Linked DNA regions of Stegostoma tigrinum. The protein of the gene in region 2 interacts with the protein of the main gene of each other region in a biochemical or structural test. Links are inferred from orthologs where the notes say so. Each region holds a gene or a part of one and is shown on either strand. Other genes may lie near its edges.

What was found.
Region 1: the proteins of lrp2a (region 2) and clu form a complex in vitro, tested with the Homo sapiens proteins (3 studies listed by BioGRID). The link is inferred for Stegostoma tigrinum from reciprocal best matches to the Homo sapiens genes LRP2 and CLU.

The regions. Positions count from the first base shown.
Region 1 is NC_081357.1:56,012,336-56,023,571, forward strand, and holds the start of clu (clusterin), read right to left. Parts: upstream 4,213-11,236; 5' UTR 3,989-4,212; intron 3,417-3,988; exon of another isoform or gene 3,296-3,416; intron 1-3,295. Other genes in the region: scara3 (scavenger receptor class A member 3), read left to right, coding at 5,249-5,255.
Region 2 is NC_081360.1:65,297,319-65,308,417, forward strand, and holds the start of lrp2a (low-density lipoprotein receptor-related protein 2a), read right to left. Parts: upstream 4,696-11,099; 5' UTR 4,660-4,695; coding exon 4,593-4,659; intron 1-4,592. UniProt on the Homo sapiens protein: Multiligand endocytic receptor. Acts together with CUBN to mediate endocytosis of high-density lipoproteins. Mediates receptor-mediated uptake of polybasic drugs such as aprotinin, aminoglycosides and polymyxin B.

The DNA of each region.
Region 1 (11,236 bases), on a different chromosome or scaffold from region 2:
ACAGTATGGATTCGATTCCTGCACACGCTGAGGTTACCATGAATCAGAGAATCTCTACAATGTGGGAGCAGACCATTTGGCCCATTGAGTTCATGCTGTCCGTCCAAAGAGGATCCCACCCAGTCTCACCCCCTACCATATCCCTGTAACCTTGCATTTCCCATAGCCTGCACATACCCTTGACACAATGGGCAATTTAGCATGGCCAATCCAACGAACCTGCACATTTTTGGACTGTGGGAGGAAACTGAAGCACCCAGACAAAAACACACACATTGACAGAATGTGGAAACACCACACAGACACAGTTGCCAGAGGGTGTCATCGAATATGGGTCCCTTGCACTGTGAGGGAGCAATGCTAACTACTGAGCACTATGCCGATTCTCCTTCTCAACCTCTCCCTTTGCCTGTGGCACGGTGAACCTCATGTTAAGCCACCAACAGTTGTCACTCTCCAACAAGAGAGACAGAATGGGACTGTGGTGACTTTACGCAGGAGTCAGCTGGGTGGAATGAATGGTCTTCCTCAGTTTGATTTTTCATAAGACAGAACTGATTATTTTAAAAGAGGAAAGAAAGCTCCAATTAGACTTTATTTTAGAATTGAAAGTATTATAGATTCTTATGGAGTTAACTCATCTAAAAGAGATTTTCTTTGAAATGCATCAATTATCTTGCCAACTGGAGATCCTTAGATATTCCTTGATGGCGAATTATGACAGCCGTACTCGGTTATCTCGTCTATATCCAAGTTTTGAACGGAGTGTGCAACTATGTTTCTGTGGCTCAATCTCTGGTGTCCAAGTTACTTTAGGAACTATGTTCCACTTCAACTTTGGACATCCACACCTGCTTGTTTAAAATAAAAAAGTTAACCATTCTTAAATCATTTGGCTTTGTGATCGGATTGTGCTGCAGCCAAAGCACGTTAATTTATCGTTATATATTGTATCACCTATGACGTCTGATAAATTAGAAAGAAATCTAGTCACACTAATCCCTGGGTCACTCGGGTCCAACTTCCAAATGAATTTCTGAGCATATTTACAACCAGCATTACAACTGTATCATTTTCATCTGGCGGGGGGGGGGGGGGGGGGGGCGCGGGTAAGCTTCTAGTATCATTCTAAGGTTTTCTGGGCATAGTTTTAAATTTCTGCAGCTTGATCCAATAAAACAGACCCTAGGCAAAGATTCAAAATGAAATATTAATGTGTTCTGCTAGAAAATGCTATGAATTTTTTTTGCTCATAGATACTGGTTATATTTTATATTGATGCTAGATATAACTGTTAATATTAACAGTCGAATTGCTATTATGTCATTGTCACAAATGGCTGTTCTGACTCTTAAAATGCAAATTCATCCTGCATTGTCAGATGTTGACTCAGTTGCAAGTGTTGCCCAACTTTAAGCCTGGAAGGTGCTGATTTAGGCCCCACTTCATAAATTTATGCACAGTTTCTATACTGTCACTCTCAGGATGTGCTATACAATTGGAGATGCTGGAAATGAGATGTTGAACTGAAGGCCAGTCTGCACTTTTAGCCATTCTGAAGGACAGACAGGAAGTTTCCCTGTATCCTGGCCAATAATTATCTCCCTATTAACATCACAAAAAGGAAAGTAAACTGGTCAATTTTAGTGTTGTGCCAAAGTTTGTTTGGAACATCACCACATTTCCTACATTAAAACTGTGACTATTCCTAAAAGCAAACTAAAAAAAGGCTGTTGACCATGCAGCACCGGTTGAGATTATGAGCCTTTCTTTTCACCCCGCAATCTGCCTGATGAGCATTACAGAAGAGTTTGGGGTTCCACATTCTACTCCTCCACGGTGCATTATAATTAATCCTCATCTTTACTTGAAGCCGCAGACTTAACAGACACAGCTATAAATTCCATTACAAGCAATCTTCACTAAATCCTAGTTATTGCTGATTTCGATGATTTAAAGTGAAAGGCATCAAGGATTGCTTCCCAACTATACACAGCAGGATCTATTGTTTTCTACAATGTTCACATTAAAAATGGAATCGCCTACACCTAAAAGCAGTTACGTTAAAAACAAAACATCTAATATTTTACAAAAGCAAAATACTCCAGAAATCTGAAGTGAAAAACTGGAAAATGCTGGAAATACTCAAAACTGCCCTGATGAAAGGTCACAGACTTGAAATGCTAATGCGTGTTCCCTCTTCATGAATGCAGAGAATTTGCAACATTTTATGACTAACGGTTGTCTAAGGCCTGAATAAAATGCTACACTGCAGGTCTTTATAAACATTAATTTTCAGCACTTAGATTTTTTGGTGCCCTTATCTAGCTTGTGAAGCTATCATTTTGTAGATCAGTATCCAAACAGCTTAATGCTCCCAGTTCGCTCTTGGTATCAGCACAAATTATTTGAAATGATCAATGTTCTGCCTCTCTTCGGGGCAGCTGTTCGGGTAAACATAAAAATCAGCATATTAAGTCTCCCTGTTTTAAAATACTCCCTCTGAGATGCAGTCAGTCTGCAGCAGACTAGAAACGTACAACTGCAGTCTGGCAGTGAGCCAACAACTAGAACAATAACCTTGACTATTCTAAATGATAACCAGCAAGGAAAAAAGCTGACTCCATTATCATGTTTTCAGCATATTGTTACAATAGCCCTATTAATAACGGTTAAGAATGGTACCTTGTTTATTTATTTAACCGATTTTCTCTATTTTGCTCCTCTTCCCAAGTTTATGCAATGGTGAGAACTGGGTGGGGCATGTTAGTAGCAACCACGAAGCAGAGACTCACCCCCCCCACACAATTCTTCCCGTCTCCACTGCGTCTCTTTGTCCAAATTTCTGTCTTCAGTAAGAGACAGGGAAGGGAAATGCTACACTGTTATGTTGTTCAAAACTTTTCACATCCAGCATATGCACCCAAGACAGATAATGAGCAATTTAAAATAAAATCACACTGTAGGAAATGCACCATGGGATCTTATCCTTGCACTGTGCCACCACCCCTTTTCCAACCAATTTCCCATTCCTTTGGTAGAATGTTTATATATCTGTCAATTTAGCCAAACTCGTCACAGTACTTCTAGTTCTTCAATGACTGCAATTTTTTAAAGGCAGCAAAATGTGCGTTTTACTTAAGCTGGAATTTTTCTGCAAACAGATTTTGAACTTACTGTAAAGTCAAAATCTACAAGCTGTTATTAATCTCTGAAGGACAAGAACAATGTTCCTGTTTATTTTTGAATTCGGCAAATAATGCAGGCTTTGTGTGCCTAATGCCTTACTCATTTCTTGACGCAAGGTGGAGCAGCTACATCGATTTACAATGATGTGCCCAAACTGTAAACAATGAGACAAAGTGTAAACAATGACACTGGACTACGCTGTGGAATTCCTTGGGGCAACAACTGAAGTAAGACGTTTCTTTAGACTAATTAGAGTATCACAGGCCTGTACATGCATTCTGCGGTCTTACCTCGAGTATTAATGGCAGAGAGCTCACAATAACTTGCCAAATTAGTTATAAGTACACGCCAAATGTTAAGATTCGTCAACTCAGTTCCTAACTTTAGGATAGAAAACGGTTATTGCAACTCCGGCTCTGATTGATAAGACGTAAGTTATATAACAGGATGCCATTTACATCAATTCCTTCAAATATATAAAAATTAATATCAACATATCATCTGCAATATATTTCAGCCTGTTCCTTTTTTTTACTTTTTAAAGTTTAATTGCTCCAGTGTCAATTTGACCACCAATGCTATAGGCAATAAATTTACTGTCGGCTACGTCTAACACTGCATTGCTAATCATTCAGTGCACTCTTTAATGTTTTAGAACAATATATTTCCAAATAGGATCGTTCAATTAAAAGAAAACTTGCATTGTTTAAAATAAGATATCCTTTTTGATGCAATACCAGTCAACAGTCCCCTCCCAAACTATTAGCAATTGTAAAATAAATGCTTTCTTGTGTCCTACCTTGCATAGAGATCTGTCCCTGCTCTTGATCTCCGCTTCGCGCAGCAGTCCTGGACCTTTTTATCCTGGTACTCAAGGTTACATTTACATTTTTGTTGAGTCACCAATACGCAATGTTGAATAGCTTTCTGGGACTTTCTGGAAAAATCGACATGGACTGTCTCATCCCGATGGAAAATAAAACCCGAATGACTAGAATCCAAACGCTTAGTGCCAATGCTGCGAAGATCCAGCAGTGGGCAACACGACACAGGCTTATAAAGCGTGAAGCGACCTGGGGCGTCTTCCACAAACAGCAGGGCGTTGTATTGTGTTTCTCAGTCAATTACCTTTCATCATCATCGCTTCTTAGAGCGTTTATGTGACTCAAAGGCAGAGGAAATCACTTAAATCAGGTTAAATGACTAGTAGAAATGTAGATCCTGATCATGATGAGTTTTAGTTTTATAAACTTGCCGGGAATTGTTGAGAAATATTATCTTCTAATGTTGACAAGCATGAAGAGAACCAGGCATTGAAAAATTTTTTTTTCACGTTAGTTTCGAAAGGATGAGTTTTGCATATACGTCTCTTTACACTTTATGTATTGCTAGAGTTTTCTTTCCAATAAGGCTGAAAGAAACTTTGAACGATGACTTTTGCATACTTTGAAAGCTCTGATCAGAACGTTTAATGTAAAGTGATGTTTTTAACCCCCTGTCATTTTCAAATGCATTTGTTTACAATTAGCGTCCCCCCACTGCGGTTACCGTGCAAACTGGCAACATGGTCGCTGCTTCCCTGGAAATATTTGAGTGCAATGAGCCAAGGTCACGGTTCTCCAAACGTGAAACATATCGCCTGGGCAAAAACGTCCAGCCTTTTTTTCAAAAAGTGAGGATGTTTATTTAGGCTCCAGAACAAGTAAGATTAGTGCAAGATTTTAGTTGCAGTCTGCGTTTCTCAGACATGTTTTCATGAAGGAAAGTTAGCCGACAGCTAGGTATGTAATCATGACGTACTTTGAAAACCAAAAAAGTCTGTTAACTTTTTTAAAATGTATAAATAAAACGATCATAATTAAATCTGTACTTCAGACTATTTAGTGTTTTTTTGCAACAGATTGCCCGTCTTCGTCGTTCAGTGCTTATGTTCATTTCAACGTTATCTTGAACCTTTATTGAATTACAGGAAGTTCTTGTCTGGCTAACTCTCCAAGGAAGGTTTTTTCATGGTGAGATGCAACAGGCGTTTATTGCAGATAGAGTATAATAACAGAACATGAAAGGTTAGTATTTTATCTCCGTTTCATTTTGCTGAAAAGTTTGGGCACGCAGCATTTTCTTTCATTACTCGTTTTTCATCATTGCAGCTCTATTAATGTGGTCAGCATTAAAATGCATATGTTTATATTTTATTTGCATGTCTCTGCGCTCTTATTCTTGTTGCAAGTACAGCCCAAGACGTTTTACAGCAGCCAAGTGCTTATGTTAGAATGTTGGATTAAGTTTGATTGTTACCCTATTATGTCATCATTGTTGCTGTCGGATTGTATTAATCATTTTCAGAACAATTTCTACTGTAGCGCAGTTATTGAGAAACAAGATGATTTGTCATGTAATTTTTAATGCAATGTCTGTTTGTAATTGTTAAAACATTGTGCATATAATATTTGTGAATAGCATTGAGGATGGAGCATTCTTGTCAAAGAAATTGCACTAATCAATTAAATGTGTCATTTTAACACTAAAGCAACTCCTTTTCCTAAATAATCCAAATAACTAGTGGAATGTAATCATTTAATAACTAGTAGATTAGAACATATAGCTGCAGTTAGACAAAGCCTTGCTTAGATCACAGCTGGACCACTGTCTACAGTTCTTGGCGTCCCATCTTGGAAAATATACATTGTTCTGGGAACCAGTGCATTTTAGATACACCAGGATATTACCAGGAGTTAAACAATTAAATTACGAGGAGAGATTTACAGCAACTTGAGTCACCGAAGGGTTACAATACAGACAGTGGTCATTTGACCTGCTGTGTGTGGGCTGGCTATTTGTAGAGGAAATCACATTATCCTATTCCTTCACATGTATCCCTACTTCTGTGATTTTTGTTTTATGTTTCAGGTGTTTTTCTCAAACCCTTTCTGAATTATACAGTTATATACCACAATTATACTTGCTTCATCTATACTTTCAGAAATTCAACTAGGCTTGTGCTCTCTGGCATCAAAAAGTAATTTGATTAAGGATTTTAATATTTTGAACATAATTGGTAAGATAGGCAGAAATAAACTTTAAAGTTTAAAGGTCTGTAGCTCGAGTTGTGGGTGAGGTTGTTGACTTGCTCACCGAACTGGCTTGATTTTGTTCAGATGTTTCATTGCCGTGCTGGGTAACACCATCAGTGGATCCTCCGCTGAAGTGATATTGTTCTACTCCGCTTGGAATTTATACTGTCCGGCTTGGCATGGTGAGCACTGTCATTTCTGGTTTTGATCTGTACATATAGAAACCCATACAGATCAAAACCGGAAATGACAGCACTCACCATAATGGACTGGACAGTATAAGTTCCAAATGGAGTAGAATAACATCAGTTCATTGGAGGCTCCACTGATGATGTCACCTAGCATGGCGACGAAACATCTGAACAAAACAAACCAGCTCGGCGAGCAAGTCGACTACCTCAGAAATAAACGTTTTCTGCTGGTGGGAGGATAAGAACACAGGAGCAGGAGTAGGCCATACCCTGCTCTGCCATTCTCTATCATGGCTGATCACCTGCCTCAACACTATTTTCCTGCACCATCCCCCTAGTCTTTGATATCATTAATATGTAGAATTCCATCTATCTCAATTTTGAACATTGAGCTTCTGAAGGTCTCTTGCACAGATAATTCAAAAGATTCACCACTGTCTGAGTGAAGATGTTCCTTCTCACTTCTGTAATAAATGGCATGTCTCTTATTTTGAGATTGTGACCTTTGGTTCGAGAGCACCCACCAGCCAGAGGGAACATCCTTTCTGCCTCTAATTTGTCTATCTCTTTATGAGTGCTTTAAGTTTCAGTGTAATAAACTCTCCATCTTCTAAATTGTAGAAAATAGAATCCCAGCTCCTGAATTGCCTCATAGACTAATCATCCCATATTTTAGTCAAGTGAACCTCCATTGCATTACCTCTGTGGCAGGTATGTCCTCCTTTAGCTAACAGAACAAAACTCCACACACTTCTTCAGGTTGGGTCTTATGAAGGTTCTATACTATTGAATCCTGTACTCCTATCCTGTTCAGATAAAGGTCAATATACCATTTGCCTTCCTGATTGCTTGTTGCACATACATGTTTGCTTTAAGTGATTTGTTAACAAGGAAACACAGTTCTTATTAAATATGAACATTTCCCAATCTCACACCATTTAGTAAATACATTAGACATTTCTCAAGCTCACACAATTTAACAAATACACTGTTCACTACTGTTCCTCCTACCAACATGGTAAATCTTGCGCATATCCACATTATCGTCTGTCTGTCATATTCTTGCCCACTCACTCAGCCTGTCCAAAACCAAGTGAAACCTCTTCGCAACATTCTCATGTAACACATTCCCGCCTACTTTGTGGTATCCACAAACTTGAATACGTTACTTTTGCTCCAGACATACAACATTGATATAGAACAGGAAAAGCTGTGGTTCAAACACTAATCCATGCAACACCTCACTAGGACCTTACAGCCTACTCACCTGAGAATGACCTATTTATTCCTACTGTTTTCTTCCAGTTCATAATACCGCAACCTATGCCAGAACACTAACCCTCATCCCATGAGTTCTAATTTTGTTTACTAACTTCTTGTCTGAGTCTTTTATAGAAAGTCATCTGAAAACCCAAAAATACCACATCTCATGGTTTCCGCTTATCTACTCATTAGAAACATGTTAAAACAGATTTGTCAAATGTTATATCCCCTTCATAAATCTATATTGGCTTACTTCAATCAAATCATTATTTTCTAGGTGTCCATTTATCACATCCTTTGTTACAGATTCTGGTATTTTTCAACAGCTGACATTGGGCTAACTGGAGTTTTATCCCTTCTTCCATTGTCGAAATAGTAGTTACATTTGCCACCTTGCAACCTGCAAACACAGTCCCAAACCAATAGAATTTTGAAAGATGATCACCTTTACAATCCACCATCTCTGTGGCCATCTCTATCAACGTTCTAGGATGTAGGTTTTATGGGTCCCTAGGATTTGCCAACTTTCAGTGTCACTAATTCCTCCAGTACTATTTCTTACAAAAGCTAGATTCTTTCCATTAACATCTTGGATCTATTATTTCTGAGATTTCTTTCGTCTTGTCCACAAAGATAGACACAGTAATTATTTATCTTCTTGTCATTTCCTTATTCCCCATTATACATTTTCCGGTGTCTGCCTGTAATAAATTCACCTTTGCTTTTGATAATCTTCTTTTTACATACCTAGAGGAGTTTTGAGTTTTTTTGATAGGTTTCTTGCTGATTTACATTCACATTCTAATCTCCTATTCTGTGCCAAGTTGTTGATAATCTTTTGACAAATTCTAAATTGCCCCTAATCTTCAGGCTTGCTACATTTTGGTAACTTGATCTGCCTTCTCCTTTGGTCTAATATATTCTTTAAGCATAGTTGTTAGCCATGGATATTTTGCTCTTCCTGTTGAATTTCTATGCTTTAAAGCAATGTATGTTATAAACAATGCATAAGTTCATTAAATACTAACTACAGTATTTCCCCAATCCACCCCAAGTAAATTTGCACCTCATACGTTTGTAGTTTTCCTTGTTTACTTTTAAGGTCTTAGTTTTGGATTTTTTTCTTAAAAATCAAATTCAACATTTAGGAGAAATGCATCTTCTGTCAAGGACGGTAAATATGTGGAACTCTGTCCCAACAACAGCAATAGATGCTGACTCAATTAATAATGTGAAATCTACGATCCAGGCAGGAGTTTGATTTATTGTTGTCACATGTACGGAGATACAATGGAAAATGTTGTTTTGCGTGCTATGCAGGCAGATTGTAGCATATAAAAGTACATCAGGGTAGCAGGGCAGAGTGCAGTATATAATGTTATAGCCACACAGAAGGTACAGAGAGAGAGATTAACATTTAAGAGGTCTGATTATGGAGTGCAATGACATAAGTGTAGGTCGCTGCAGTTTGGGTGCAGGTTCAAAGTGATCTATTTGAATGACCAAACAAGCTTGAAGGGCTGAGCAAGTGCGGCTGTTCCAGCGTTTCAAGGTGCTGAGCCCAGGTTACATCCGAACAAATCCGAGGAAGCAGTTGAGAGCACAATTTCTTGTAGAATTTTTGATCTGCAAAAGATCCTACCACATTTGCGTGGTGAATATCAGGTGTTTCTGCAATTAAGAGGTCCCAACTAGAAACAGAATATTTGTGAATTTCGGTGAGACAGGCGTGACCTTGGTAGTAATGCTCCTTCAATCGTATAACCCTACCAGTACTCATCAACTAGGTATTCAAGCTAAGCTGATAGTTGTTGTGTATTACACCAGCACATGCTCAACTGCAGACAAATGTTACTGAACTTACTTTATTTACACATCCCAACAGTGAGGGAAATATAATAAAACACTGACATCTAGCCTTTTATACATTCACTTCTCATTTGAATAGAGCTTGTACCATTTTATATTTTAATATGTATGTTTCTAGAATTGCCCATGATTAAACTAGCATTGATAATACTGAAACTTTAAGCTTGGGTTGCTACTTATTTTTACTAATCACAAGTACTAATCAAACGCACATATGAGCAATGCTACTGAATTGATTTCACAGTTTTAAAAAATACCTAACGCTAGTGTGTTTTTGACAAAATGTTATCATATAGCAAGAAATAATGAAAACAATAACTTCTTCCTCGCGGATAAGAGATAATGGGAACTGCAGATGCTGGAGAATTCCAAGATAATAAAATGTGAGGCTGGATGAACACAGCAGGCCAAGCAGCATCTCAGGAGCACAAAAGCTTATTTGTGCTCCTGAGATGCTGCTTGGCCTGCTGTGTTCATCCAGCCTCACATTTTATTAACTTCTTCCTCGCGATATACTTGCAATCTAATTGGCTACTTTCTCTTGCCGTTTGGAATCTCCTGCCATTTCCATTATCCTGATTCTACTTTCTTAACATTTCTGACTGTGTTAAACCTGACTTTTGACTACCAGCTGAAATTAATGATGGGGACTGTGATATAGATTGATTTGGAAGATCCTTGCCAGCTTTTTATTGGGCAGTACGATGCTGGAAATCCTTCAGTTCCTTTCTGTCTTTCACTTGAGACTATAGGAAGAATTTGGCCTATAGGAGGTTTATCATACTGTCATAGAGATGTACAGCATAGAAACAGATCTTTCAGCCCAACTCGTCCATGCTGACCAGATATCTTAAATTAATGTAGTCCCATTTACTCGCATTTGGCCCATATCCCTCTAAATCCTTCATATTCATGTCCTTGTCCAGATGTCTTTTAAATGTTGTAATTGTACCAGCCTCCAGCACTTCCTCTGGCAGCTCATTCAACACACGCACCACCCTGTGCATGAAAAAGTTGCCTGTTGGAGTTCCTTTTTAAATATTTCCTCTGTCAGCTTAAACCTATGCCCTGTTTCCTACCCTGGGAAAAAGACCTTGACTGTTCACCCTATCCATGGCCCATCTGGTTTTATAAACCTCTATAAATGTCAACCCTCAGCCTCTGACGCTCCAGGGAAAATGACCCCAGCCTATTCAGCCTCTCTTTATGGCTCAAAGCCTTCAATCCTGGTAACATTCTTGTAAATCTTTTCTGAACCCTTTCAAGATTCACAACATTCTTTCCTATAACCTGGAGCACAATTGAATGCAGTATTCTGAAAGTGCCCTGTCTATATCCACAGCCACAGCATGAACTCCCAACTCCTATACTCAGTGCACTGACCATTAAAGGCAAGCACTTTAAAGTTTTAGCAAAGATCTGTAGCTGGAGTTGAGGATGAGGTTACTGACTTGCTCGCCGAGCTGGCTTGTTTTTGTTCAGGCATTTCGTCCCCATGCTAGGTGGCATCATCAGTGAGACCTCTGATGAAGCGACGTTCTACTCCGCTTGGAATTTATACTGTCTGGGCTGTTATGGTGAGTGCTGTCATTTCCAGTTTTGATCTTTTGTGAAGGGAAGGTCGTGCCTCACAAAACTTACTGAGTTCTT
Region 2 (11,099 bases):
TGATTGTGTTAAATGGAATCCTACAATTGTGAAGCTGTGACCCTGACATGAGTAAAGGTGATTCTGTCAGATTTACAGAGCTGGGTGTTCGGTTCTTGTTTCCAGTTCTGAGGTTGAAGTCAAGCAGTCTACGTGGTTTCATTCCTTCAGACATTTCACTACAATTGAGTGGTTGTTAGGCCGTTTCAGAGGTCAGCTAAAAGTCAACCGTGTTACTGTGGGTCTAGAGTCATCTACAGAGAAGACTGGGGAAGTACAGCAGGTTTCCTTCTCTAAAGGACATAGTGAACCAGATGGGTTTACAGCAATCAACAATGAAGTAAATGGGTATGATATGATTTCCTTTTCAAAGACAAGGCAGAAAGTTATCCAAGGCTAGGATCTGAATATTCAAGAATTTGAATTTAGGAATGTGAGGCAAAAGGGAAAAGAAGGTGGAGTAGTGCAGGTTATGAAAGATGGGATCAAAGTAACTTACTGAGAGAGATTCTTATTTGGTATTGAGAGAAGAACAAAATGTAGAATCTAGTTGGGTCAAATGAAGTAACAGGGTTTCAAGGGGCATCAAGCATTGTTTATAGGCCACGAATGGCATGGCATAAATCTAGAAATGACAGGTCACATGGCAAGGGTAATGCAATTATCATTGTTGATATAACCCCATGTATGGTCTGGGTAAATCTAATGAGCACAAATGCTGTGAAAGGGAAATTTCTAGACTCTGTATGAGATTTATTTAATATCATTTATGGGATGTAGGCATGGTTGGCTGAGCTGCATTTCCTGCCCATCCCTAGTTGTTCTTGAGAAGGTGGTGAGCTGCCTTCTTGAACTGCTGCAGTCCTCCTGCTGTGGGTTGACCCACAATGCTATAAGGGAGGTAATTCCAGGGTATTGACTCAGTGACCGTTAAGGAACGACAATATATTTCCCAGTCAGGATGGTGAGTGACCTGGAGGGGAACTTGAAGCTGGTCGTGTTCCCATATGTTTCCTGCCCATGTCCTTCTAAATGGCCATGGGTTTGTAAAGTTCTGCCTGAGGATCTTTGGTGAATTTCTGCAGTGCATCTTGTAAATAGTAAACACCGTTGCTACTGAGAGTCCATGGTGGAGGGAGTTAATGCTTGTAGATGTGGTGCCAATCAAGCAGGCTGCTTTGACCTGGATAGTGTCAAGTGTCTTGAGTGTTGTTGAAGCTAAACCCATTCAGGCAAGTGAGAGTATTCCATCATACTCCTGGATGGGGAGTTCAAAACTAGGGGGCATATTTTTAAGGTGAGAGGAGAAGGATTTAACTGGGACCTGAGGAGCAACTTTTTAAACAGAGAGGGTAGTTCATATGTGGAATGAACTGCTGCAGGAAATGGTGGATGCAGGTACAGTTACAACATTTAAAAAGACATTCGGACAGGTGCATGAATAGGAAGGGTTTGGAAGGATATTGGTCAAATGGGACTAGTTTAGATTGGGAAAGTTGATCAGCATGGATGACTTACACTAAAAGGTCTGTTTCTCTGCTCTATGACTCTGTGACTAAGTTGTCCAATTTGGTAGGAAGAAGAGATGTGCCGAACATTTATTAAATGCTGAGTGATTCGTAAGTATTGCTGTCCAGAAGGACCTGGCTGTCATTGTTCATAAGACTCTGCCCGCTGAATCTGCAACTTAGCCTTACATTAATCATTCATGGGAGGAGGGTGTCTTTGGCCAGGCCAGCATTTATTGCCCATCCCTAATTGCCTAGAGGGCAGTTATGAATCAACCACATTGCTGTGGGTCTGGAGTCACATGTAGGCTAGACCAGGTAAGGATAGCAGTATCCTTCCCTAAAAGGACATTAGTGAACTAGATGGGTTTCCGCCCCCCCCCCCCCCCCCAACAATTGACAACGGATTCATGGTCATCATCAGATTTTTAATTCTGGATATTTATTGAATTCAATTCCACCATCTGCCATGGTCAGATTTGAACCCAGATCCCCAGAACATTAGAGATAATAGGAACTGCTGATGCTGGAGAATCTGAGACAACAAAGTGTAGAGCTGGATGAAGACAGCAGGCCAAACAGCACCTTATGCTGCACACTGTCTGGGTCTCTAGATTAACAGTCTGCAATAACACCTCTAGACCATCGCACGCACTCACCCCCCAACTTTCAATCAGGAAGGCACATGATCTTTATTGTAAGGTGATTTGAGTACAAATATAGAGGTGTATAGTAGGGAAAGTGCAGCAAAGGATCATTAGGATAATTCCTGGAATGATGCAACCAACCTAAGAGGCATGACAGAGGAGATTGGAACTATATACTCCAAAGTTGAGAAGAGTGAGGGATAATATTATCAATATATTTATCTTACCAATAAAATCAAAGAATCAAATAGTATGCATATTAAAATTTCATGAAGTTACCTAGATATTCAGGTTTTAATATCATTGCAGGGTCAAAGTATGATTATAAAGATGTTAAAATATCAAGTCAATGTCTTAGTGATTGCTACAAAATCTGAAATTGCTGTAAAGACTCAACAGCTCTGGCAGCATCTGTGGAGAGAAAGCAGAGTTAATGTTTCGGGTCTAGGAACACTTCTTTGGAACTGACTGTAGCGAGGATGATTGGTAATACATGGTAGAGAAGGGGTGGGAGAGGAGAAGCAGTAAACAATAATTAGATGGAGACCAGAGAGAGAGAGAGAGATTTCTAATTGTTTCTGATTTTCAACATCTGCAGTTCTTTTTTTCTGCTTTTTACAGGTTTGCTGTTTTGCAATCATTCTACAATATCTATCATTAATGTGGTATGCATGTATTGCTACTTAACTGCCAAATTAGAGTAAAAAATGTTTTAGCCTTGCTTGATTTGAAGTAATAAAGAAAATAGCATATTTCTGTCTTGCATTTAGATTGAGATACCTTATGTAAACAATGGCACCTGCATTATTTCAAAGTGGGGTCTACTTTGCAATAATGTAAAAATTACAGTATTACTCTAAAACCAGTTCAAGATCTTGACCCAAGTGAATATTGGTGGGGAGAAACCAAGGCATACAAAAAGGAATTTCAAACTTGTTTCCAGTCACAAGCAACAGCATAACTCTAGTATCCTGAAATCTGATGTGCAGCTGGATGGTTTGTGAAGAACTCAAGCTGTGGGTCAGTAATAGAAAATATTGGAAAAGGTATATATTTTTATACATATCACCCTCCAAGATCAGCAGTAATTTTTTACTTGAGTTTGTGATTTTACTTAGCAAAAACAAATTTTGATATGTGCGTGAGAAACTGACATCCATCAAATGTGCATAATCGAGGCTCAGCTTTGATAATCTGCAAAATTCAAGAAACCTGAAAAATGATGCATCTGCATTAAATGTGACCCCATACACGTATTTGAAATCCAATTATTGCAATCCTGGAAACAACATACAATCATGTCAATTAAAGATTGCGTGGTTACCGCCCGGAACAAAATAAAACTTGAGCAGGTACTTTCCGAGCACAGTAAAAGTTCTTCCTTAAAATAAGGGGTAATTTAAAGCAATTGCCTTCCAAAGAAGTTAACCCTTTAGTCAGAATAAAGAATATTAACTCAGCATTACACAGAACAGCATTCTGAAACAGGATGTCTGCTTTTCTCGAGCGGCTGTAGTATAATTAGTTACTTGATTTACTGTAAGGAGATTACACTGGCCATGGAAAGAGATTAGAGATGGAGCAGTTTGAGAACCGCACAACAGTGTTGCGGCAGTGCCCAAGACACGGTGCTCTGAGAATATTTCCAACGTCTCCCTGCACAATTAAGGGACGTGAAGTCACACTGTAACGTAACCGTGGTTGGAGCAAAGTGAGTGATGAATTCGCCAACACTGTGTAGAAAAGGGATCTGGAAGTCAACTTAATGGCACTAGACCAATTAACAGATTCGCTATGTCTGCTAGTCACATGCGCAACGATGTTACCTAGCAACAAGGGAACTCACTAAAAGTTCGCCAGGAAGAAATTGCAAATCTTCTGCTGAGTGGAACTTTGTGCAGCAGAGAAAATATCAGTTTACAGAATCAAATTGTGCTGAAATACAGTAAAACCTTTCACCTGATGCATGGATCATCTTGTCGAAATTGAACGTATTACATCGTTTCTTTCTGTTACAAAACTATTTTAGAAAAATCGTGAACTTCCGTTGAACCGATGCGGCTTATTGTCAATGGCGGAATTTTGCCGTACGGTTCCCATCAACGTGCGTTTTTACCTGGTACTTTTCGCTCATTTCTTTAGTAGATGTAAATTTGAAAAGCTGTTAGTTTGAGTGCTAACTAATTGTTAAACTTAGCTATTTTCTTCCCTGTTAAACTATTTTAAACTTACTAGTTAATATTGTATTCCAGAACAATCTGAAATTAATTGATATCTAAATCTCTTAAATACCAAAGGCTGTACTCCAACAAAAGTAATGCTAGAAATGTACAAAGTGCATTTCTTAAAAAAATCTAAATAACGTATTGAATAAAATTACACTCATCATTCACTTCACCAGAATAGCTGTAATAAATATCCAAAAATAAGAAGTTGGCAAACTTATGCACCTTCTTACCTTCTGAACTACAATGAACTATAAGCAAAGTTCCCAGAAGAAAAAGTGAGAACGTCTGGCCGACCATGCTGCAGCCTTGTTTTGAAGTCTTCCCCTGCTCCTGGTGAAGCTGGCTTTGCAAGTAAAGGTTGTGGAACCTGGTTGATGTAGGTCTCCGAGCTGTCTTTTTTCCCTCCTCCTGATGCTAGTTGGGAAAAGGCGTGTTCGAGAGTTTGGACATTGCGTTTGCACTAAAACCGTTCAGCACTAAGGTTCTCTGCACCCAGGCCCCGGAAGCAGCATAACTCAGCACCAGTCCTCTAACAGGGAGATGTCTGCATGCCCTACTAAACCGTTATTAGCACAGTACTGACAAACAATAGGTTAGGAGAAACAAACTGGCACAGCCACCTAGAGAAATCCTTGCACTTCATTTCGATTTTCTAAACGAGACAGTTGACTTTGGTATGTTGTGAAATTCAAATACGAAAGCACTTTCATTCCAGAAAATGCATTTATGAAATAAGTTAGGAAAGTTTTACACAAACTGTTCGCTCTGCATGTTCCGCTGCTCGCTGAATTGCACATTTACTGTGATATTTATCACTGCCCACTCCCCATTTAGATAACACAACTTCTTATCGGCAGTGAATTGTTTATATTTTACATTGCTTTTGGTCAACTGGCTACGTGTCACTAACTTGCACTGTTAATTGTGTGTGTATGTGTGCGATTATTTTACGATTCTGCCAATTGTGATGCCTATTTGCTCGTTATCACAAGAGGCATACTTGGATTTCGTTATTTCTAAGTCTGGTGATGCAAGCGACCGCAGGGGGACTATTCATGCTCAGGGCGGCTCGGTGTTGGTACGGCACAGCACCGGGGTCAAGCCTTGGCGCTGCACTACATAACAGCACGAGGGGCAGATCAGCATATTCAATGAGTTTCCTGACACATCCCCACCACAAAGAACAAAACAGCCCACACCCTTCATCATCAGTCAAACTACCCCCCCCCCCCACCCCCTCCAAAAGAACCTCGAGCCATCGCTTAGTTTGCCAGAATGGACCCGAAAGCCTTTTTTTTCTTTGAAGAAAAAGACGTCTCAAAACTTCCATTAGGCTTTGCTTTCTTTTGTTGCTCTTTTGTTTTATTGTTGCCAACTTGATGAAATTCTTGTCGTGGTTTCACAGCAAGTGTCAGACTGACCAAACGTAACCAGCTGCGTTTCTTTATGAGGTTGGTGATAAAGCGACTAATCCCAGTGCTGCCCCAGGAAGAGGGAACCAAAGGATAACGCAAAATGTGATTGGCAACAGTAACAACGAAAGTCTGTACTTTCTTTATTATAGATGTGTCTTTGAAAATCGCCCAAGGCTTCCATAAAGAAGGAAAATACGTCGATTCTATAGTCCCCAGTCAATTTGTGGACTTTAAAGCATGTATTCCTCCAACTGTTTAAAGCCCGGAGGACCCTATAGATCGTACTGGTGCTGGCCCATCTCTAACAACTTGCTCTCATATTTGATACATTTCAAATCAAATCAATTAATGTTATACTCGGGTTAGGCAATGTGCTAGCTACAGTGATCCAAATGGGACAGTGAATATTTCACATCAAGATACTAGACAAATATGAGTTTACATTTCAAAATAGATTGTTGTTAATACAAGCACATGCCAGATCGCATTGGGGTGGGGGGTGGGAGTGACGAGTGCCACAGCGAATGCGCAATTCAGCGAGCAGGGGAACGTGCGGAGCGAACAGTTTGTATAAAACTTTCCAAACTTATTTCATATATGCATTTTCTAGAATTTTTAAATTTGAGTTTCAGCAAATACCGAAGTCCACTGTCTCATCAAATTGTCATAAACAGGTTTAGCGAAGTGAGGACGGGACGACAGCTGCAATACATCAGCAGGACGGCCTGGTTGGCGAGACTACTTTTAGTGCCTCTTAAATGAATACACCTCTCTCTGTTAAGTAACTATATACATTGTGCCAACAATCCCTTTGAAGTAAATGATGTCCTTTAAAGAACAATAGTAAAATATATGCGGACTTTTGTGTTTGCACCTCACAATGAAATCTTCCGGGATAAGTTGGAAGACAAATTAATAAAGTGAGAAATTTAGGCAATTGCCATTCAATTCAAATGGTAAATTTATGTACCGTTATCTCTGTTAAGCGTTCAGAATGATTTCTAAATCATGTGACATTCAGTTATTTATGGGCACGCTTATCCAGTTCACTAACTTTCTCATGTAATTGTAGATATTACATAAAATCAACGCATTACAGGTTGCGCGGGGCTAGGTTAAATTTTGATGGTCTTCTAACGAAGTCCAAATCAATAAGTTTATGAAAGCAGTGAATTATTAACAGCGGGAAACCAAGATAGACTGATTACTTCCGAAGTAGATTAGTGGTGAGCAGCATTGCCTCAGCGCAAAGGACCCAGGTTCGGTCCTACACTTAGTCGATTTTTGTCTGTGTGGAGTTTGCACATTCTCCCTGTGTCTGCGTGATCCCCACGGGATGGTCCGCTTTGCTCCCACTCTCACAAAGATGGCCAACATCCTATAGTGTTCAGAGATGTGTGGATTAGACATGGGCAATACATGGTTATAGGCTAAGGGATCTGGATGGGATGCTCTTCGGAAGGGGAGTGTGGATGTATTGGGCCGAATGGCCTGTTTCCGCACTGTAGAGAGTCTTTAATTCCCCAACGTGGACTAAGTCCCATTCACACGTTATCCCTGTGTTTACTGACCTACAAGGACTTTCAGTTTAGTAAGGTCACCTTTCAAAGTTCTTATCCTTTTTAAAAAAAATTTTCACCCACGGGCTTGTCCATCTCTATCTTGATATAACTGCCCTCCGTCTGATTCGGGTCTCTTGTGCGTCGCTGGTTTTAATTTTCTTGATCCTAAACGCTGGAATTCCCTGCAAAATCTCTCACCTCTCAAACTCTTGCGAGACTCTTTAAAAATCCATTCTGATCAAGCTTTTGGTTATCTGTCCTGAAATCTCCTTATGTGCCTGGGCGTTAGAATGTGTCCCTGGTGCTCCTTTGAAGGGCCTGCCAATGTCTCACTGCACCCAGATTACAACAGTAAATCAGACACTCTTGTGGTGCACTGGTAATGTCCCCAGCTCTCTGCCAGGTCAGTGTTCAAGTCCCAACTGCTCCAGCGGTATGACCATACCCCATCTGAACAGGTTGATCAGCAACAGCTACAACAGTGACAGCACCTCAACAAATGGTCGTAAAATTAAGGCATTCAGCATTCCGTAAAGTGCGATATAAATGCAAGTGTTATGGAGGCACAGCAGTTAACTAAAGATGTTAGTGGTGTTGTCAATTATAAGAGCTAAGAAACCTGATCATCGATAATGAAATGTGAGGCTGGATGAACACAGCAGGCCCAGCAGCATCTCAGGAGCACAAAAGCTGACGTTTCGGGCCTAGACCCTTCATCAGAGAGGGGGATGGGGAGAGGGTTCTGGAATAAATAGGGAGAGAGGGGGAGGCGGACCGAAGATGGAGAGAAAAGAAGATAGGTGGAGAGGAGAGTATAGGTGGGGAGGTAGGGAGGGGACAGGTCACTCCAGGGAAGACGGACAGGTCAAAGAGGTGGGATGAGGTTAGTAGTTAGGAGATGGAGGTGCGGTTTGGGGTGGGAGGAAGGGATGGGTGAGAGGAAGAACAGGTTAGGGAGGCAGAGACCGGTTTGACTGGTGATCATGATCATCAGTGTCTCTAGAAAGCTTTAGCTCACATTTTCTTAAGGAGAATAGACATCCTCATAACATGTTTGGATTTTAATTTGAGTTAAAACCCATATACCGGTAAATAAATGCAGTCAAATCCAGTTAATGACGAGGTCATTTCAAGGACGTCCTTATGTTAACAGTTAATGCCTCACTTAAATTTAGGTGGAAACATTCTTAATCCCTTCTGATCTATGTTTACGATAAGTATGGTTTACATTTCCTCACCCCCTTCTAATTTCGAATTTAGTGCTCGTTAAAATTATCATTTTGTTTTAGAGGAAAAATCACTGGGCCACGATGAATAGCTTTCGACTTGCGGATGGTTTAGAAAGGACTAAAGTATGTTTTTTTTCATTTTGCGCCTCAGTCCATCAAAGCCACATTTGGGTTTCCGTCGAGTTTTTCTCTTGGAAATTGAAACATCATAAATTACAAAGCATTCTTTTTTTTAAAAAATGGGAACGTCACCACAAACTTACCATAAACAAAAAGCAATCGTCATTCTGTTTTGTCGCAGCACAGTTAATGTCCGAATGTTTATACTTTTGTTTTATTCCTGAATTATTTATAAGGGATGGCAGATGTAAGTGAAAATGAATCTGATTCTTCCGCATTTCAAGAGTTTTTATTTTGTTCATGATTTAATTGGCTCAATCACTCACATTAACTCCAAACTAAGCCAATCTAACCCTCTTTTTACCATTGTTTTCTGGTGTTTAGGGTTTTGCAGTAAACATTGTTTGTTTGGCTGGCGAGCGGATTAAGATTTCTAAGATATGTCAACACATGGCTGCTTCTGTTTTAGTGCGACGGGAAGGCGTGAGGGTTTTTTTAAAACGAATTGTGAAGGGTCATTGCCCCTGAATAGAATAACTCATTTGAATGAATTGTTCAGTGAAAGTTTGTGTAATGTTTTCTGACTAGGCGCTGGTGTACAGAGCCTGATATTAATGCAGTCGGAGCTCAGGACTGTGGAGCTTGATTTGGGATTGGTTATCTTGGAATATTGTGTACAGTTCTGGTCACCGCATTATAAGAAGAATGTGGAAACTTTGGAAAGGGTGCAGAGGTTTACTCGGATGTTGCCTGGTATGGAGGGAAGGTCTTATGAGGAAAGGCTGAGGGACTTGAGGCTGTTTTCATTAGAGAGAAGAAGGTTGAGAGGTGACTTAATTGAGACATATAAAATAATCAGAGGGTTAGATAGGGTGGATAGGGAGAGCCTTTTTCCTAGGATGGTGATGGCGAGCACGAGGGGGCATAGCTTTAAATTGAGGGGTGAAAGATATAGGACAGATGTCAGAGGTAGTTACTTTACTCAGAGAGTAGTAAGGGAATGGAACGCTTTGCCTGCAATGGTAGTAGATTCGCCAACTTTAGGTACATTTAAGTCGTCATTGGATAAGCATATGGATGTACGTGGAATCGTGAAGGTTAGATGGGCTTGAGATCAGTGTGACAGGTCGGCACAACATCAAGGGCCGAAGGGCCTGTACTGTGTTGTAATGTTCTATGTTCTATGTTCTATCTTAGGCTCCAACTTCAGTTAACCTCAAATTGCCGCTTTTCTGCATTTTCCATAGCACTCCCACTGATGAATTGATGTTTTAAAATTTGAAACATGATGTAAAAGCAGATAGCAAAATTACTTCAATAATTTAGGTGATCAGAGAAAAAAAAATCACCTGATGAAATGCTTCTGGAGTGACTGACTTCCACGTCTCATGTAAGCTTTTTATTTCATTTATTTTTTTCATTGTAGTATTGCTTATAATTTTCAGTATCAGTTCTTGAAAATAAAACTCTTTTACTGGGCACAATGGAATCGTTGGTTGATTTCATTAACACATTGCAAAAATTTGCACCTGAACGACTTCCTCTTTAAAATGATTTTATTGGGCTCAGCACAGTTTTTTTTCAGATAGCTATTCCCAAATGGACTCCTCCATCTGGGTTAAGGCCAAGTGTTCTCTAAATTCAATGAAACAATATCCCGGTTACAATTAGACTCACATTTGGACTGTGTCAGTTTGCTTATGCATATGTAAACTGACACAATACTTTAGGTCAAATCCTAAAATAAAAAGACCCATTCGTTTTATTCAAAAGAAACAAAGATCCAGTTGTCTTGTCAAAGAGGTCTGAAATTGAAGGGTTTGACTTCTGGAGGACCGTTATCACAGAAGAAAGAACTTCTTCCTCCAATAAATTGAAACATTCAATACATTAAAGCAATTATACGATATTTAGAAAGATCAAATGTGGAAACTATTTCAAACTATCTGATCAAAGTTATATTAAAGCATACAGTTGGATCGAATATATCCTTAAATTCCTCAATTCTCTGTTGTGTATCAACTTCCTTCATTTATTTGATAAAGTTTTCTTATACTACTATTCCTGGTGGATTGTTCCAAATATTCAGCAGCCTCTCTCCAATCACTTACAATCTGTTTCGTTGGTGTTAGGTGACCTTAATTTATTTTACTGCTTGAAATATCTAGTAAGTGAATAAATTTTCCCTTGCAAAAGGACAATGCTTCATCCTCCAACACCTCCGCCATCTACAATCTGACCCCACCACTAAAGACATTTTTCCATCCCCACCCTTGTCTGCCTTCTGGAGAGACCACTCCCTCTGTGACTCCCTTGTCCACTCCAGACTCGCCTGAAGGTTGCAGGAACAGCAACTCATATTCCGCTTGGGAACCCTGCAGCCCAATGGTATCAACGTGGAGTTCACAAGT